2 linked regions of the Arabidopsis thaliana genome follow. The protein of the gene in region 1 interacts with the protein of each later gene in a biochemical or structural test. Each region holds a gene or a part of one and is shown in the gene's direction. Other genes may lie near its edges.

Region 1 (8,954 bases):
AGAACTTCAATAAGCCAAAAATAAGGGATTCCATCGTTACCCGAAAAAGTTGAGAACTTCAAGGATCTGATCTGCCAAGTTTTCAGCAGAAGGGACTGAATCATTAGGACAAATTGGAGCAGCTCCTAACTGCAAGAAAACAGAGAAGTCATGTGAGTAAGTAATCACGTCAAGCAAAGCATACGGCAAGTTAAAAAAAGAGAAACTAAAATATTGGACCTCATGCCCAGGTGGACTGATATGGTAAATGCAGAAGTTATGAAGCAGCAATGAAGCTGCTTCAGGACAGAAGAATAACCCTTGGAAGCATGACATATCTGAAGAAGAAACAACAAAAACATTAATAAATTTAGCCATTACATTAGTGCCTATAGAGATTCTTTAGCCTTACGGTTTAGGGCTAAATCAGGATAAGTAATCAATGCTGGCTTTTCTCTGTCTCCATAGACAATGACAGACACAACACCACTAGCAGTTTTAACACGATGCTCCTGAACACAAGAAACCAACAAGTTATAACAAAAGTAACGGATCATGAAACCAACAGAAAAAAACTAAACTTTTAACCATACCATTTGTCTACTCCATATTCATAAAACATGTGTTTGTAAACAATGAATCTATTTTCTCGTTAGTAAATGTATACTAAAGATAGGAATATGACAACTGACTTTAGGTGGAAAAGAAATGCTTTGATTAACACACACACAAAAAAGAAAACATCTCTGTTAAAGCTTTTCCATGTGCAGCTTTACTACTTTTAAGGGCAAAAAAACAAAACCAAAAACTTGATCATCAACAACCAAAGAGAAATGGCCTAATTCTAATCATTGTGGTTTTTTTTTAATAAAAAGGGAATGACAGTTTAAAAAAGATGAGCTAATATGAGTCTTAATGAGATAATAAAGAAGCATTAGTCTTATTAAACAAAAGGTTAATGGTAGACAAAAACAGCTGGCATTTTCTTTTCTTTTTTCTATAAGATAAAAAAATCAAAAGGCAATAAGACAAAGAATAAGGAATACAAAATAATAATAAGAAGAAGATATCTTTGAATAGAGAGAAGAAGAAGATCCCAAGAATAATCCCATCTGGAAATGAATCATAATAATAAAAGAAGTTTCACAAATCCACAAGCAAAGAATTTCTCCAAGAACATTTGATTCAAACAAAAGATGAGTCTTTTTTTTACAAAAACAAATGAATCTAACAATGCCCACATGTCTGTTCTTCCCCAAATCAACAGAAAGATTAGATTTAAGCAAGTTTAAGATAAACCCAGAAACAAAAATCAAAGCTTTATTCGGATCCGAGTTCAAAGGTTAAAGAATGAAACCTTGCCACCAAGATAGATTGTTCCAACGTCGACGGAGACGGCGCCGTAAGAGTCCGTCATTGGCAACAAAAGCTCTTCCGCTTAGCCGTCACCGTCGCCGTCGTTGTTTTAAGAACGCCGGGATAACAAGAGCTTCTTCTCTTTTCTTCTTCTTCTTCTCCCAACCTCTAGATTGTTTTTTGGCTTTTCTTTAGCTTATATACAAAGCGATGCCTTTTCTCTCTCCTCTCTCTTAAGACCTCTCTGGAAAAAGAAACGTTTTTTTTTCGTTTTCCTTTTTTTCTTCTCTTTCGTTTTACTCTCTCTATAAATTTTGCGGTGATTTCTCCATAGACGCCGGTAGTCGTAACATGACACGCGAACGGTCAAAAAACTTAAAATAAGAAACATTTTTAATTTGATTTATTTATAGAAACTTATTTTTGATAAATATTATTAACCAGCTCGAATTTCACCAATAACAGTCGAATACTAATTCGGAAAAATTGCTGTAAATAAATTGGATAATTGTATAAATGTAAACAAATATTAAATGTTGATAATTGGATAAGTAAGGGAGGTGCGAAGTTTTGGTTAACAACAAAATTAACATTAAGCAAACCGAATATAAATTTTTAGAGACTGTTTAGTTTTATTATTAAAAAAAAAAAGAGAAACCAAATTTTCTAAAAATACTATTACATATAAAAAATTATTTTTATGTAATAATATTAAGAACATCAATATTTAATAAACAATTGTATATTTATACTATTCGCAATTTTTTCACTTTGAGTTGGAAAAAATATATCTTAGTAGAAAATTAGAAATGGACTAATCTTAAACCATCAGATAGGCTTTCAAACATATTCCTATCATAAGAAACATGATGAGTAACACCACTATCTATGATCCATGTATTTTGTGATAACACTTGTCTAGAGGACGTTAGAGAACATAGTAACCATAAAGTCGAAGGTGAGAAAGAGATATCATTGAAAGCAAAACTTTGAAGTGACCAAATCTGCTGAGTTAGCTGATAAGACCTTGGCAAATTCGTAATGTGAAATCTAGTATCCAAGTCTTTCCAGATCTCTGCAGCATCATTGAAACGAAGTATACTCTTATAGATCTGCTTTGTAACAGAATTAAGGATCCTAGATTTAACCATACTGTTGCATCGTGACCACACTCTAAAGCTAGGATCAGATTCAGGAGGTCTTGGTAAAGTTCCATCAACAAAAGCAATCTTATTCTTAACGTTCAAAGAAACAAACATCGCAATCTTCCAAGAAGAGAAATTAGATCCATCAAGTACCTCAGAAACAAGTGTATTCCCAGGACTCACCATTTGAGAGCGCGAATGGCGAATAATGAGCATCCGAGAAGTCGAACTGTGGTAAAGGATAGATCGATGGTTTTGAATTGAAATTTTGTTGAAACGGATTCGAAATTGGTGGAATCGGTGGAATCGGTGAAGCTTGAACACGATCTGGAGTTTTCTCAGCTGAAGTTTTGCTCGATCTTCTAGTACGACGCCGCAATTTCTCTACGGAAACCATCGCAAGATCAACGAAGCTCTAAACAACTGAAATTTTCCAGAAAACGTAGAAAATTGAAGAAACAAAGAATCAACGAGTTTGGAAGATCCAAGAGCTCGAAGATACTCAGAGTTTAGGTTGAATCGGATGAATCTTCGAGATCCATCACTCTGATACCATAATAGTTGATGAACGAATTCAGAGAAATGAAGAAGATGAGAAAAATTTGTTATTCTTCTTAATTGTTCTGTTACATGAAACACTCTTTATATGTAGAGTGTTCCGGTTTAGTAACCGGTTTACATTGTACCAAACAACAATACAATAACCGAATTTATGGTTAATATCTTAAGTTAGACCTATTTCAAAACAAGCCTAATTTTCACAATAGTCAATTTTTTGTTGTTGAATATTTGGCCGAGAACTAGACTTCAATAATGGGGAAGAATAACTAAAATCGGTTCTTTCTCCTCTCCCAAAGTCAACTAGATTCACCAAGAATAACTAACTTTGGTTAATGATTACATGTTCTTAAAGTTATGGATCTTTTGGGAAAAATGGACTATTTGGCAAAAAGAGTGGCAAAAAGAGTGTGAACATAAAAAATACAAATGGGGCGTTCCGAGAATCGAACTCGGGACCTCTCGCACCCAAAGCGAGAATCATACCACTAGACCAAACGCCCTCATTTGATATTTCGTTAATTAGATAAATAATACCTAATAATACAAACTTGAATTGGTCTTGCATTTGGGCCGTTAACAGGCCTTGCTAAGTCATATGTGGTGTGTATTTCTCCATCTGCTATTGATCTCAGTAAAAATTACATAAAGAGAGCCACAAGCTTACTGACTCTCTTGTGTATCGCTCTCTCCGCATTTCCATTAACCCTCCAATTTTCCCGCCTTTGTCTCACTCTCTTCCCGCCTTGCACTCGCCGGGGACTCCATGGTTCAGAAGCAGCAAGCCTCCGCCGGTCCGGGTACCGAGCCTAAGAAGCGTCGCCGTGTCGGATTTTCTCCCGCCGGTGAGTCATTTCTTCTTCTTGTTTGTTTTCCTTTACTCGCGATTACCACTTTCCCAGCTCCGATTTCGTATTTTTCTTTAATCCGTTGATTTTTCTTATGTGCAGATACTGGTGTCGAGGCTAACGAGTGCATCAAAATTTATCTCGGTGCGTATTTGATTTAAATCATTTGAAGTTGATTTTGGGGATATAGTTTCGTACGAAAATTAGGGTTACGTTTCCTGCTTTCGACCTTTTTGGTGAAATTAGTTGGCCTTACTTCAATTTTTCTAGTTTTTGGCTTTTCCGGCGAACTTTATTGCTTTCAAAAGGTAGTTTTCAGTTATTGAACATGTAGAGCAGATCTGTATACTGAGTTTCTGTTGATTTATGTGTTTTATCTTTCTTCCAATTGATATTTGTTCAATGAGTTGTAAAAGTATTTTCTGTGTGAAGTGTCTTAGGTTGCTGTGACATAATTTTGTTTTCTGTTTTGGTAATCGTGATGGGTGATGTTCTAGTTTCAAGCAAAGAGGAAGTTGATTCCTCTGATATTTCCAGCGTGAAGCCAGTTGACTTGAATGATTTCTTTGATGGAGATGGCAAGATTTATGGTTACCAAGGTTTGAAGGTAATGTGGCCTCCTACCATTAGATTATTTTGCTCTTTCTTAAATTTCTGGTTTCGCATTGTTGTGGTTCTGTTCTGACATATTCTTGTCCACAATTTATTGATGTCAGATAAATGTATGGATCAATAGCATCTCATTACATTCATATGCTGATATCACATACCAGAGCACCATTAACGTAAGTGTTGATTGTATTTGCTATTCGTTGGATTGGTTTTATACGGCTTTTAAAGGGACTAATCATCACTATCCTGTTACTTTCTGTTGTGTGTTTGAAGGGAGACAAAGGCATCACGGACCTCAAATCTGCTTTACAGGTACCAATCAACTTGGACACATGCTTCTTTTGCTCTCATTATATTATTCTGATTGTCTGTTTCATTTCACCCACCCAGAACATATTTGCTGAGACCATTGTTGATACCAAGGATGAGTTTCTGCAAACCTTTTCGACACAGAGAGATTTTATCAGGTGCATAACTGCATACCTTCTGGTTGCTTTCATACCATCTCAAATTTGTTCCCAACTTAATTACGATAGATCTCTTTGTAGTCTCTGAATATAATGTTGAACTTTGTCATTGATTGTTGTTCTAGAAATATGGTCTCGAATGGAGAGGTAATGCATGCTGGAGCAACAGATGGAAGCAGCAAGAATGCTGAAGTGGTTCCTTCTGATCCCCAGGTAGTTTTTGCTTAATATGATTCATGTATCCTATAGTCTTAATAAGTTTGAGCAAATTAGTTTGAGATGTTTTCAGCTTCAAATAGAACTTATAAAGGTTGATTATCCTCAGGTTATACGGATGGAAATTGGTTCTCCAAATGCTGGACTCCTCTATAGCCGATTGGTACCCCTTGTTCTTCTTTTTGTCGATGGTAATAACCCACCTACCCTTTAAGTCATCTTGAATATTTTATTTCTCTTGTTAGTAACTTAGTACTAACGAGATGCCGGCTCATTCTTTTGATCAGGCAGCAATCCGATTGATGTCACTGATCCTGACTGGCATTTATATCTCTTAATCCAGAAGAAAGAGGAAAAAGAAGATCCTTTGTATCGAATTGTGGGCTTTACCGCAATTTATAAGTTCTATCGTTATCCTGACAGGCTGCGGATGCGACTCAGCCAGGTATTAAATATATTCCTCAGAGATCTCAATCCTACTTACAATCTTTTTGATCTGACTGTTTTTGCTGATTCGTTGTTTTGATTTCAGATCTTGGTCTTACCATCCTTCCAAGGAAAAGGACTCGGAAGCTATCTTATGGAGGTAGTAAACAACGTGGCCATAACAGAAAACGTTTACGATTTGACAGTTGAGGAGCCATCTGAAAAGTTCCAACACATCCGCACTTGCATAGACATAAACCGCTTGCGCAGTTTCGATCCAATCAAACCAGACATTGATTCAGCTGTTCAGACTCTCACAAAAGGAAAGCTATCAAAGAAAGCTCAGATACCTCGATTCACCCCGCCTCTGAACGCCATTGAGAAAGTCCGCGAATCTCTGAAGATCAACAAGAAACAGTTCCTCAAATGCTGGGAGATTTTGATATACCTTGCTCTTGATCCTATTGACAAGTACATGGAAGATTACACATCAGTCATCACGAACCATGTGAGAACCGACATTCTGGGAAAAGATATAGAAACTCCAAAGAAACAAGTCGTTGATGTTCCAAGCTCTTTCGAGCCAGAAGCATCGTTTGTGGTTTTCAAGTCTGTAAACGGAGAAGAGGCTAATACCAATGTTCAAGTTGATGAAAACAAACCGGATCAAGAGCAGCAGCTGAAGCAACTTGTTGAGGAAAGGATTCGTGAGATCAAGTTGGTTGCTGAGAAAGTCTCCAAGAGTGGTCAAACGCTAAAAGTCTGATTGGAATCAAAACTTTGTGAGTCTTTTATCGGAAGTTTTTTGTTGAATGATCAAACTAGAAATCTCAAACTTTGTTGATCTTCTGTAAGGAGTAAGGACAAATCTGTTTGTAGCGCTATGTTATGGAAGTTGAGTAAACTAATGTAGTTCCGGTTATGATGTTTGTTGTCACATCCAGAACCATAAATTGGAATATTCCGATTGAATTTTAGCAAAAACTTGATATAAACCGACGCTGGTTGAACCAAATATACCGGGCAAACCGAGAAAGATACTAGTCAAGGCAAAAAAACAAACATAAGAAGAACAAATCTCGAAGGGTGGGACTTTTGTGCCGTCTCTATAGGGAGAAGAATTTGTTTTCGTGTTCTATTGATAAACGAATTTGATTTTGACAGAGTGAGGCAGAGAGAGAGAGAGAGAGAGTGAGAGATGGATTTGATAGCGGGAGAGAGCTCGAAGGTGTTGAGGAAACAAGGTTTCAGGTCGCTGAAACTGATGAGTGTGGACATGGAACAAGAACTCGGTAACGAGCTTGAGCCATTCGGGGCTGATTATGGAAGACTCGATAATGGTCTCATCTACTATGTTCGCCGGAACTCCAAACCAAGAATGAGAGCCGCTCTAGCTCTCGCCGTTAAAGTCGGGTATGTCTTCTTCTTCTTTTTTTATTTTGGCCACATTTGGTTTCAATTTGAATTGAATTGAACTTATGAATTGAAATTACTGGAAATTGAGTCGAATGTTGATTTATTTGGTCACTCTTCAGTGTTGATCCAACTTTGATTTGATTAATGATTCTTCTTGTTATCTTTTATGAATAGATTTGTGACATGCATTGATATATTCGATAATACAGAATTGTGCGCTATAAATGATGCTGACACACCTTTTGGTTTATTGGCAGTTCAGTTTTGGAAGAGGAGGATCAGCGTGGAGTTGCTCATATAGTAGAGCATCTTGCATTTAGTGCTACAACGAGATATACAAATCATGATATTGTCAAGTTCTTAGAGAGCATTGGAGCAGAGTTTGGGCCCTGTCAAAACGCAATGACTACAGCGGATGAGACTATTTATGAATTGTTTGTCCCTGTTGATAAGCCTGAATTGTTATCTCAGGCTATTTCCATTTTAGCAGAGTTTAGCTCCGAGGTAATGTCTCTGTGACTCTGTCTCCTCCTTTTTGTTACTTTATTTTTTTCTTTCCATAAGAAATTAGTTACACGGTGTTTTTAGATTCGAGTCTCAAAGGAAGATTTAGAGAAAGAAAGAGGGGCTGTTATGGAAGAATACCGAGGGAATCGGAATGCTACTGGAAGGATGCAAGATTCACATTGGCAGCTGATGATGGAAGGTTCAAAGGTATGTGAGGTCTTTTGTTAATCAGTTGTCTAGTTTAAGAGAGAGGCCAATGTTTTCTTAAAAAAGACTTTCATTTAACTGCAGTATGCTGAACGTTTACCCATTGGGTTGGAGAAAGTGATTCGATCTGTTCCTGCTGCAACTGTGAAGCAATTTTACCAGAAGTGGTATCATTTATGCAATATGGCAGTTGTGGCTGTTGGAGATTTTCCAGATACAAAGGTACTACTATTTTAGTTTATGACTATGATTATGTTGTACTGTTAGAGTTTGTTGATAATCCTTGTTTCTAGACTGTAGTTGATTTGATAAAGACACATTTTGAGGATAAAAGATCAAGTAGCGAGCCTCCACAGATACCAGTGTTTCCTGTTCCTTCTCATGAAGAGACGCGGTTTTCTTGCTTTGTTGAGTCAGAGGCAGCTGGGGTAAGTCAAATTTAACTCTCCAAACGTCTTCCTGTATTATCCCGATGTCAACTCCTAAGCTTCTTTTGTGTTTTTTTTTCTTGTAGTCTGCAGTAATGATCAGCTATAAGATGCCTGTAAGTGATCTGAAGACAGTGAAAGATTATAGGGATATGCTTGCAGAATCAATGTTTCTACATGCTCTAAACCAGAGACTCTTCAAAATATCTCGTAGGAAGGACCCTCCATTTTTTGCGTGTTCTGTTGCTGCTGATGTCCTGGTGAGCCCTTTGAAGGCCTATATAATGAGTTCGTCTTGTAAAGAGAAAGGAACTCTTGCATCCCTAGAGTCTATGCTTCTCGAGGTCTCTTCTCCTTTCCCTCTTGTCCAAGTCTTTGTCACTCCCTTGTCCCGCCCCTTCATTGGTTCTCGTGTTTTAGGTTGCTAGGGTACGCCTTCATGGGTTCTCAGAGCGTGAAATATCTGTTGTTCGGGCTCTCATGATGTCCGAGATTGAATCTGCTTATCTGGAACGCGATCAGGTCCAATCAACTAGCTTGCGGGATGAATATATACAGGTAAAATATGTGATGAACTTTAATATCCAGCTTTTTGTCTTCCCCCTCTACCAAAATCTTGTTTATATATGTGTTTCATCTTGCAGCATTTCCTTCACAAGGAACCTGTTATTGGGATTGAATACGAAGCACAACTTCAGAAGACTCTTCTACCCCGTGAGAACATGCATACGCTTCTTATAATGTAGTCGAGTTCCATTTTCACTATTAAACTCGTATAAATTATATTGG
Region 2 (6,639 bases), on another chromosome or scaffold:
CATAACTAATTTGTTTTTAGTCTATACACTAGTTAATGAGGGATACATTCAATAGATCCGCTGTAGCACACCGGTTTATTTCAATGATGAAATCCGGGTTCAAACCCCGGCAGCGGAATACTTTTTGTTTTCTTTCTATCTAGTCAGGTAAAGGACAGATCCAAAATACATCTAAAGAATTCAACATCTGACAAATAAATCTATAATACACCACAATTATACTTTTATTAAAATCGATTATGCTTGTCTAAGTTGACTTTGTAAGAAAAAAAACCATTGGAGAGGAGCAGAGTTTTGATCTTTGAGATGAATGAGATTCATGGAGGAATTTCTTGGCTGCAAGTTTCTTTAAGATTTGTGCTTCGAGTATGGTATGAAGCTAATACCAAAATTGTGCTTATCATTTTGCAGTGGAAAGAAATCTTAAAACAATTCATTCTTTAAGACTTGTGCATCTTTGTTTTTATTCCAGTTTGGTTAGGTTTTCAACTTATTGCGAGTTCTTCAAGATCTATGCCGTATCATGTACATCTCAGCAAGAATAACACCTTGCAATTCACTATCATTGGAGTCTTTGAGTTATAGAACAAAAGACAAAGCAAAAAGACCTAAAGAGAAGATATACAAGAGCTTTTTAGCTCAACGACCTCATAACAATTCTGTTTTTAGTTAGAATAAGAATCGTTACCACCTCACAACGACATCGCTTCATTGAAAGCACTTTAAATGCTACAAAGCAGAACACTTCAACAAAATTATAGTCTCTTGTCTTAATTGTTAGAACACACTTATTTTTTCTATAGTCTATGTACTAATTGAATGGAAATATATTCAACAGATCCGCTGTAGCACATCGGTTAATTTCAATGTCATGAAATCCGGGTTCAAACCCCGGCAGCGGAATACTTTTTTTTCCAATTCTTTTAGTCAGGTAAATTAAGGACATATTCAAGATATTTGAACATCTACACCAGTCTTTATTATAAAATTGATTATGCTTGTCTAAGTTGACTTTCTAAGAAGAAATTATTGGATTAGGGGCAGAGTTTCTAAGAAGGAGATTCAAGAAGAAATCTATTGTTCCAAGTTGCTTCAAGAATTGTACTTTTAGTCACAGTATGAAGCTAATATCAAGATAGTGCCTTTTTTTTTTTTTTTTTTTCCGTCAAACACCATTTTTATTAAGTTATCGGAAAGACGCTATCCGCTAGGGAGAGCCATTCAGGAACCGACTTGCTTACATGGGAAAAAAGAATATTTCTAGTCCTAGCTTTTTTGGCTAAAAGGTCTGCTCAAGTGTTAAAACTACGAGGAATAAATCTAATACGAAAAGAAGGAAAAAAAACAATAAGAGATCGAAAAGAGGCCAATTCCGCTGCAAAAGTTGGCCATTCTTCTTGGTTATCGAGAAGAGATATCAAATCGGAGCAATCAGATGCAAAGGCTCCAGAGGTCTCGCCAATTGATATCATGCACTTCATAGCCCAAAGCAAGGAGTCCACTTCCGCATGAAGCGGTGATAGACTTCTTTTCGTACTTTTGAGGCCAAGATGAAGAGTAATATCTTGATCAACTAAAATCCATCCATGTCCACTCAGAGTATCCTCCAAATGCCAAGAAGCATCAAACTGACACTCAGAAGTCCTAGGGGGAGGGAGATGTGCCAGAACCGGAAGTGAAATAGACTCTGTGATGGCTACTTCTTTTTGGTTTGCTTGTTTTCAGGCAATTGCCTCTTTGATCACCAAGGCCAAAGTCTCCAAAGGAGGTTCTTTAAAATTCTCGAACAAAAATCGATTACGACTTTTCCATATATACCAAAGTATCCATGGAAAGAGTTCAAGAACATCCTCTCCTATTCCGAATTCCTTGCCCCGCCAGAAGAGAAAATCAAAATTATAGAAGAGGGAGCTCCTAGGGAAGAGGTGCCCTGAAGTGGGAATAGGTGACAATGCCCAAATCTGTCTGGAATGCGGACAATGAAAAAGGATGTGATTAATAGTCTCCTCTTCCGCTCCGCAACGAGGACATCCTTTATCTGTGCCAATATGTCGGTAGACAAGTCTTTGACAAGTGGCTAGACACCCCGTGATACATTGCCACGCAAAATGCATAAGGTTTCGCGTAGTTTTAAGCTTCCATACTTGTGCCTGAAGTGCAAAAACACTCGGTCCCTAAAAAGGGAGGTCACAAGTAGGACGAGACAAATCTCGCGCAGCCCAATACCCGGATTTAATTGTATAATTTCCGGATTTAGTGTGGGACCAACTAAATCCATCAAGATAGTGCTTATCTCTTCCAAATACGACTAACATGTTGTTACTAAGATGTTATTACGATGATTTGTGCTTAGTTGACAGAATGAGTCATATATCTTGTGAAAATTGGGATAGTCAAAACTCTTTTGTCAAATTAACGGATAATAGTTAATAGTGGTGTTTAATCTGAGTATTTGTTTGAGTTTCTGATTTATGAATCTAGTATATGTCAATTGGTACAATCAAAGAACCACATTATATATCACTCACACCATTTTTTTAAAAGATTGAATCAAGAACACACATTGTTAAGAGAACACTTAAACAAAACTAGTGGCTCTCCTCTCTTTCTCTTAATATGTGTTCGGTCTTAACACGTGATAGGTAGAGAGTATTAATTAGACAGGGTATATACTAGTTAATTGGAGATACTTTCAACCAATCCGCTGTAGCACACATGTTTATTTCAATGATGAAATCTGGGTTCAAACCCGGCAGCGGAATAGTTTTTTTCTTTCATTTTGGTAAAGGACCGATCCAAATATACCTTAACAAGTTGACTTTGCAAGAAAAAACCATTGGAGAAGAGCAGAGTTTTGATCTTTGATGAGCTTTGTGTTGAATGCGATTCATGAAGGAATTTCTTGGCTGCAAGTTTCTTTCATCAAGATTTGTGCGTCTAGTTATGGTATGAAGCTAATACCAATATTTTGCATATCATTTTGTAGTTGAAAGAAATCTTATAACAGAAATTTTGAGTTCATTCTTCAAGATTTAGATAAGTCTTCAACTTGTTGAGAATTCTATGACAAACACTCATGGTATTCACTTTGGAGATTAAATCAAGAACACACGTTTTACGAGTTTTTCGAGATCGATATGATCCTAGTACATTTCAGCAAGAACAACACCTTGTAATTTACCATCAGTGGAGTTTTTGAGTTATAGAAAAAAAGGAGAAAACAAAAAGACTAGATATACAAGAGCTTTGGAGCTCAAGGGCTTTATAACAATATGGTTTTCAGTTAGAATAATAATCGTCACCTCCTTACAACGACATTGCTTCATTCTAGCTAAAGCACACATCCTTACGTTGTCCTGTAAAAATGCTTCAAACCAGAACATTCCAACAAAAATAGAGTCTCGTCTCTTCTTACGGTTAGTACACAGTAATTGTTTCTATTAATTCAATGGAGTTATGTTCAACATATCCACTATACCACATTTGGATTCAAACCCTTATAGTAGAATATGTTTTTTTTTTTTTTCCAAGTGCATTCAACTTGTCCAAATAATAATAATGTAAAAAAACAATTTTTAAATTTTTTAAAATATATGGATAGTAAAAAAAGAGATCTGAGAATTTACCTTTTTTTATGGTAGCTGAAAAGTAAAAGTAAAATATACTCCATAGTTATACTAATTATTTTCGATATCCATTGTAATTTAGTACATATAACCGGTCCGGTTGACTCACTTGGTTCAAAAGGAAAAATCAAAAATCCACAATCCGTGACTAACATAATAACCCAATCTACAACCGTCGATTCATTAATAATCAAGGATCCATATATCTCATAAACCTTTCTCACGGATCGTTATCTTTGACCGTCCGATCAAACAATAAAACGAACGGTCACGATTCATTTTCTAACCCAAACAATCTTCTTTATAAATAAAAAATAAATTCTTCTCTACTCATCAGAAAACTCAAATCTTAAAACTTTCTGGAAAAACAAAAATGTCAGGAAGAGGAAAAGGAGGAAAAGGGTTAGGCAAAGGAGGAGCAAAGAGACACAGAAAGGTTCTAAGAGACAACATTCAAGGAATCACAAAGCCAGCGATTCGTCGTCTTGCTCGTAGAGGAGGTGTGAAGAGAATCAGTGGATTGATCTATGAAGAAACGAGAGGTGTGTTGAAGATTTTTCTGGAGAATGTGATTAGAGATGCTGTTACTTACACTGAGCATGCGAGGAGGAAGACGGTGACTGCTATGGATGTTGTTTATGCCTTGAAGAGACAAGGAAGAACTCTATATGGATTTGGTGGTTGATCAATTTGAGATCTGGGTTTTCTGGTGAATGATGATGATTTAAGTCTTGCGATCAAGAAATTCCAGAAATTGGGTTGAATTTTAGGGTTTCGTTTTGTGTTGTAATTAGGGCAGCATTGTAATGGATTAATGATAAGTACCATTTGCTCTAATTACTCTTTAATCTCTGAAATTCATGGTAAAGGATTATCAATCGAAAACTAATCAAAGGAATTGATTGAACTATGTTTTTGAAGATTGAAAAACAAATAAGGACTAAATGTGAGCAATTTAAAGTTTAGAGGTATAAGAATCGAATGACAAATATGGACTCAATGTGAGCGTTTTAAAGTTCTTAGCTTTATATATAAGATTCATACACTTAATTGGCTTATAATATTTCTTGCAAAAAATCATTTTCGCATTCCCTAGTGTAAGAATTTGTTGTGAAAATTATTCAGAGTTTTGTGAAATCTAATGACACGTCATCGATCCAACACATATTTGTAACGATACATTCATCACCGTCAGATCAAATAAAATGAACGGTTAATATAAACAAGAAAACAGTTTCTAAAACAAAAAAGAAAGGGCCCTACCGGATTCGAACCGGTGACCTATTGATCTGCAGTCAATTGCTCTACCACTGAGCTAAGGACCCTTATTGATTAATTAATATCAATTACATACATATAACCCATAGATATGACGAAAATGTCATCAACATTGTTCTTCGATTTCTTCTACAACACCTTCAATACCAAAACATGATCGTAATAAAGAAACAGAAGCAATGACCATAACTCCTGCGAATATCGTTGGTAAAAAAACGTCTAAATATGAATTCTTCACCATTTCTGACGGCAAGATTAACATTTCTCCCGGTAAATCCATCGGAATCCTAACGAACCCATCGGAAGATGACTTTAATTTCGACACAAACGCCATCTCCGGAGCAAATGAAGCCAAAGCCACTGTGATCATTAGGAGAATTGTCCATGTTGCTGTTTGAACAAGAACTTCCCAACGTGTTGAGGTTTTTTCAAGAATTGGTTCCATTGAAAGAATCAAAATTATAGAAGTGTTTAGTTTTGTGTGTGTGAAGTTAAAAAGATTTTGAGTTAGTTTTGGGATTATACAATGTGACGAAGAAGAGTGGGAGAGAGGACTCTTACACGTTTTCATGAACTTTTTTTATAATTACGGATTTACCATTTTCTTAGTTAATACAAATTTAATTAAAATTATTGTGACCGGGTTTTAATGAACAAACACCTAACTAAGAGAGAAATATCCACCGTTAAGGCAGTTATAGGATTCGAAACAATGGCTTCTTAATTTATTATTTCAGAATCAATTAAGAACTCGCGTCATGTGACGACCCAAGAGAAGAACCCGTGTGCAAATACACGTATGAATCTCAAATTATTTAATTTTAGTAATATGAGATTGTCAGATAATGAACATTTTAGGGTTGGAACAATGCAAAGGTGAATCGGTTACTGGATTGTAAACCCAAATGGAAATGGTTCGATGATTTGTTTGATTTAGTGTCAAAAGCAAGGTTGGTTTTGGCATGATCCTCTTTCTTCAAGATATAAAATGATGCAATACTCTAATCACACATAAAAAAGAAATGCGATAATCCAGAGCATAAACAAGGGTTTGATTGAATCACTAGCACAAAAGTCCAAAAAAAAAAAAAAACGGAATCAAGAAACCAAAAAACACATTCCAGCCATATTATCCTCAGTGTAGATGTATTTTACTAAACCTATAAGTAATAGTTTGTGTACCAAGTTATTGTCAAAATAACTAAATCAGGAAAGAAATTTGTCTCTAAGCTGATAAAAGACTCGTCATCATCCGTTATAACCTGTTCGATGATTAGTTGATCAATCATTTCTAAGGTGAATAAACAAAAGCTAAGCTCAAGAATAATTCACAACAAAATTACCGATTCATCGTACAAAATCATCCACCAAAATCCAAATTTTAATTTAACATTCATAAATATCAAACTTCTTGTAGAATCCCAAGTCACTAAACACAAAATCCAAATTAAAAAGAAAACATTAACACCATTACAATCTTCAACAAATTACATAAAAACCATCAGATTCCATATCAAAACGAACCAAGATTCGAAACCTAAACGGCTAAACCTAAGAGCTAGTAAACTTAGTAACAGCCTTAGTTCCTTCAGAAACAGCATGCTTAGCAAGTTCACCAGGTAACACTAGTCTAACAGCTGTCTGAATCTCCCTAGAAGTAATCGTAGGTTTCTTATTATACCTAGCTAATTTTGAAGCTTCTTGCGCAAGTTTCTCGAATATATCATTGATAAAA

Evidence for each region. Proteins that work in one complex are often made in the same cells at the same time.
Region 2: of the proteins of HAG2 (region 1) and HIS4, one has a biochemical effect on the other in vitro, tested with the Arabidopsis thaliana proteins (one study listed by BioGRID).

The regions. Positions count from the first base shown.
Region 1 is NC_003076.8:22,950,428-22,959,381, reverse strand, and holds HAG2 (histone acetyltransferase of the GNAT family 2), read left to right. Parts: upstream 1-3,642; 5' UTR 3,643-3,804; coding exon 3,805-3,883; intron 3,884-3,988; coding exon 3,989-4,030; exon of another isoform or gene 4,031-4,367; coding exon of another isoform or gene 4,368-4,383; coding exon 4,384-4,493; intron 4,494-4,602; coding exon 4,603-4,671; intron 4,672-4,771; coding exon 4,772-4,810; intron 4,811-4,888; coding exon 4,889-4,965; intron 4,966-5,090; coding exon 5,091-5,178; intron 5,179-5,290; coding exon 5,291-5,372; intron 5,373-5,468; coding exon 5,469-5,626; intron 5,627-5,713; coding exon 5,714-6,373; 3' UTR 6,374-6,615; downstream 6,616-8,954. Other genes in the region: NDL1 (N-MYC downregulated-like 1), read right to left, coding at 41-129, 220-317, 392-491, 1,337-1,396; AT5G56730 (Insulinase (Peptidase family M16) protein), read left to right, coding at 6,806-7,020, 7,281-7,527, 7,612-7,737, 7,822-7,959, 8,031-8,165, 8,252-8,509, 8,586-8,723, 8,810-8,879. UniProt on the Arabidopsis thaliana protein: Acetylates soluble but not nucleosomal H4. Acetylates 'Lys-12' of histone H4.
Region 2 is NC_003071.7:12,327,315-12,333,953, reverse strand, and holds HIS4 (histone H4), read left to right. Parts: upstream 1-3,894; 5' UTR 3,895-3,999; coding exon 4,000-4,311; 3' UTR 4,312-4,609; downstream 4,610-6,639. Other genes in the region: AT2G28725 (forkhead box protein G1), read right to left, coding at 5,011-5,349; AT2G28720 (Histone superfamily protein), read right to left, coding at 6,456-6,639. UniProt on the Arabidopsis thaliana protein: Core component of nucleosome. Nucleosomes wrap and compact DNA into chromatin, limiting DNA accessibility to the cellular machineries which require DNA as a template.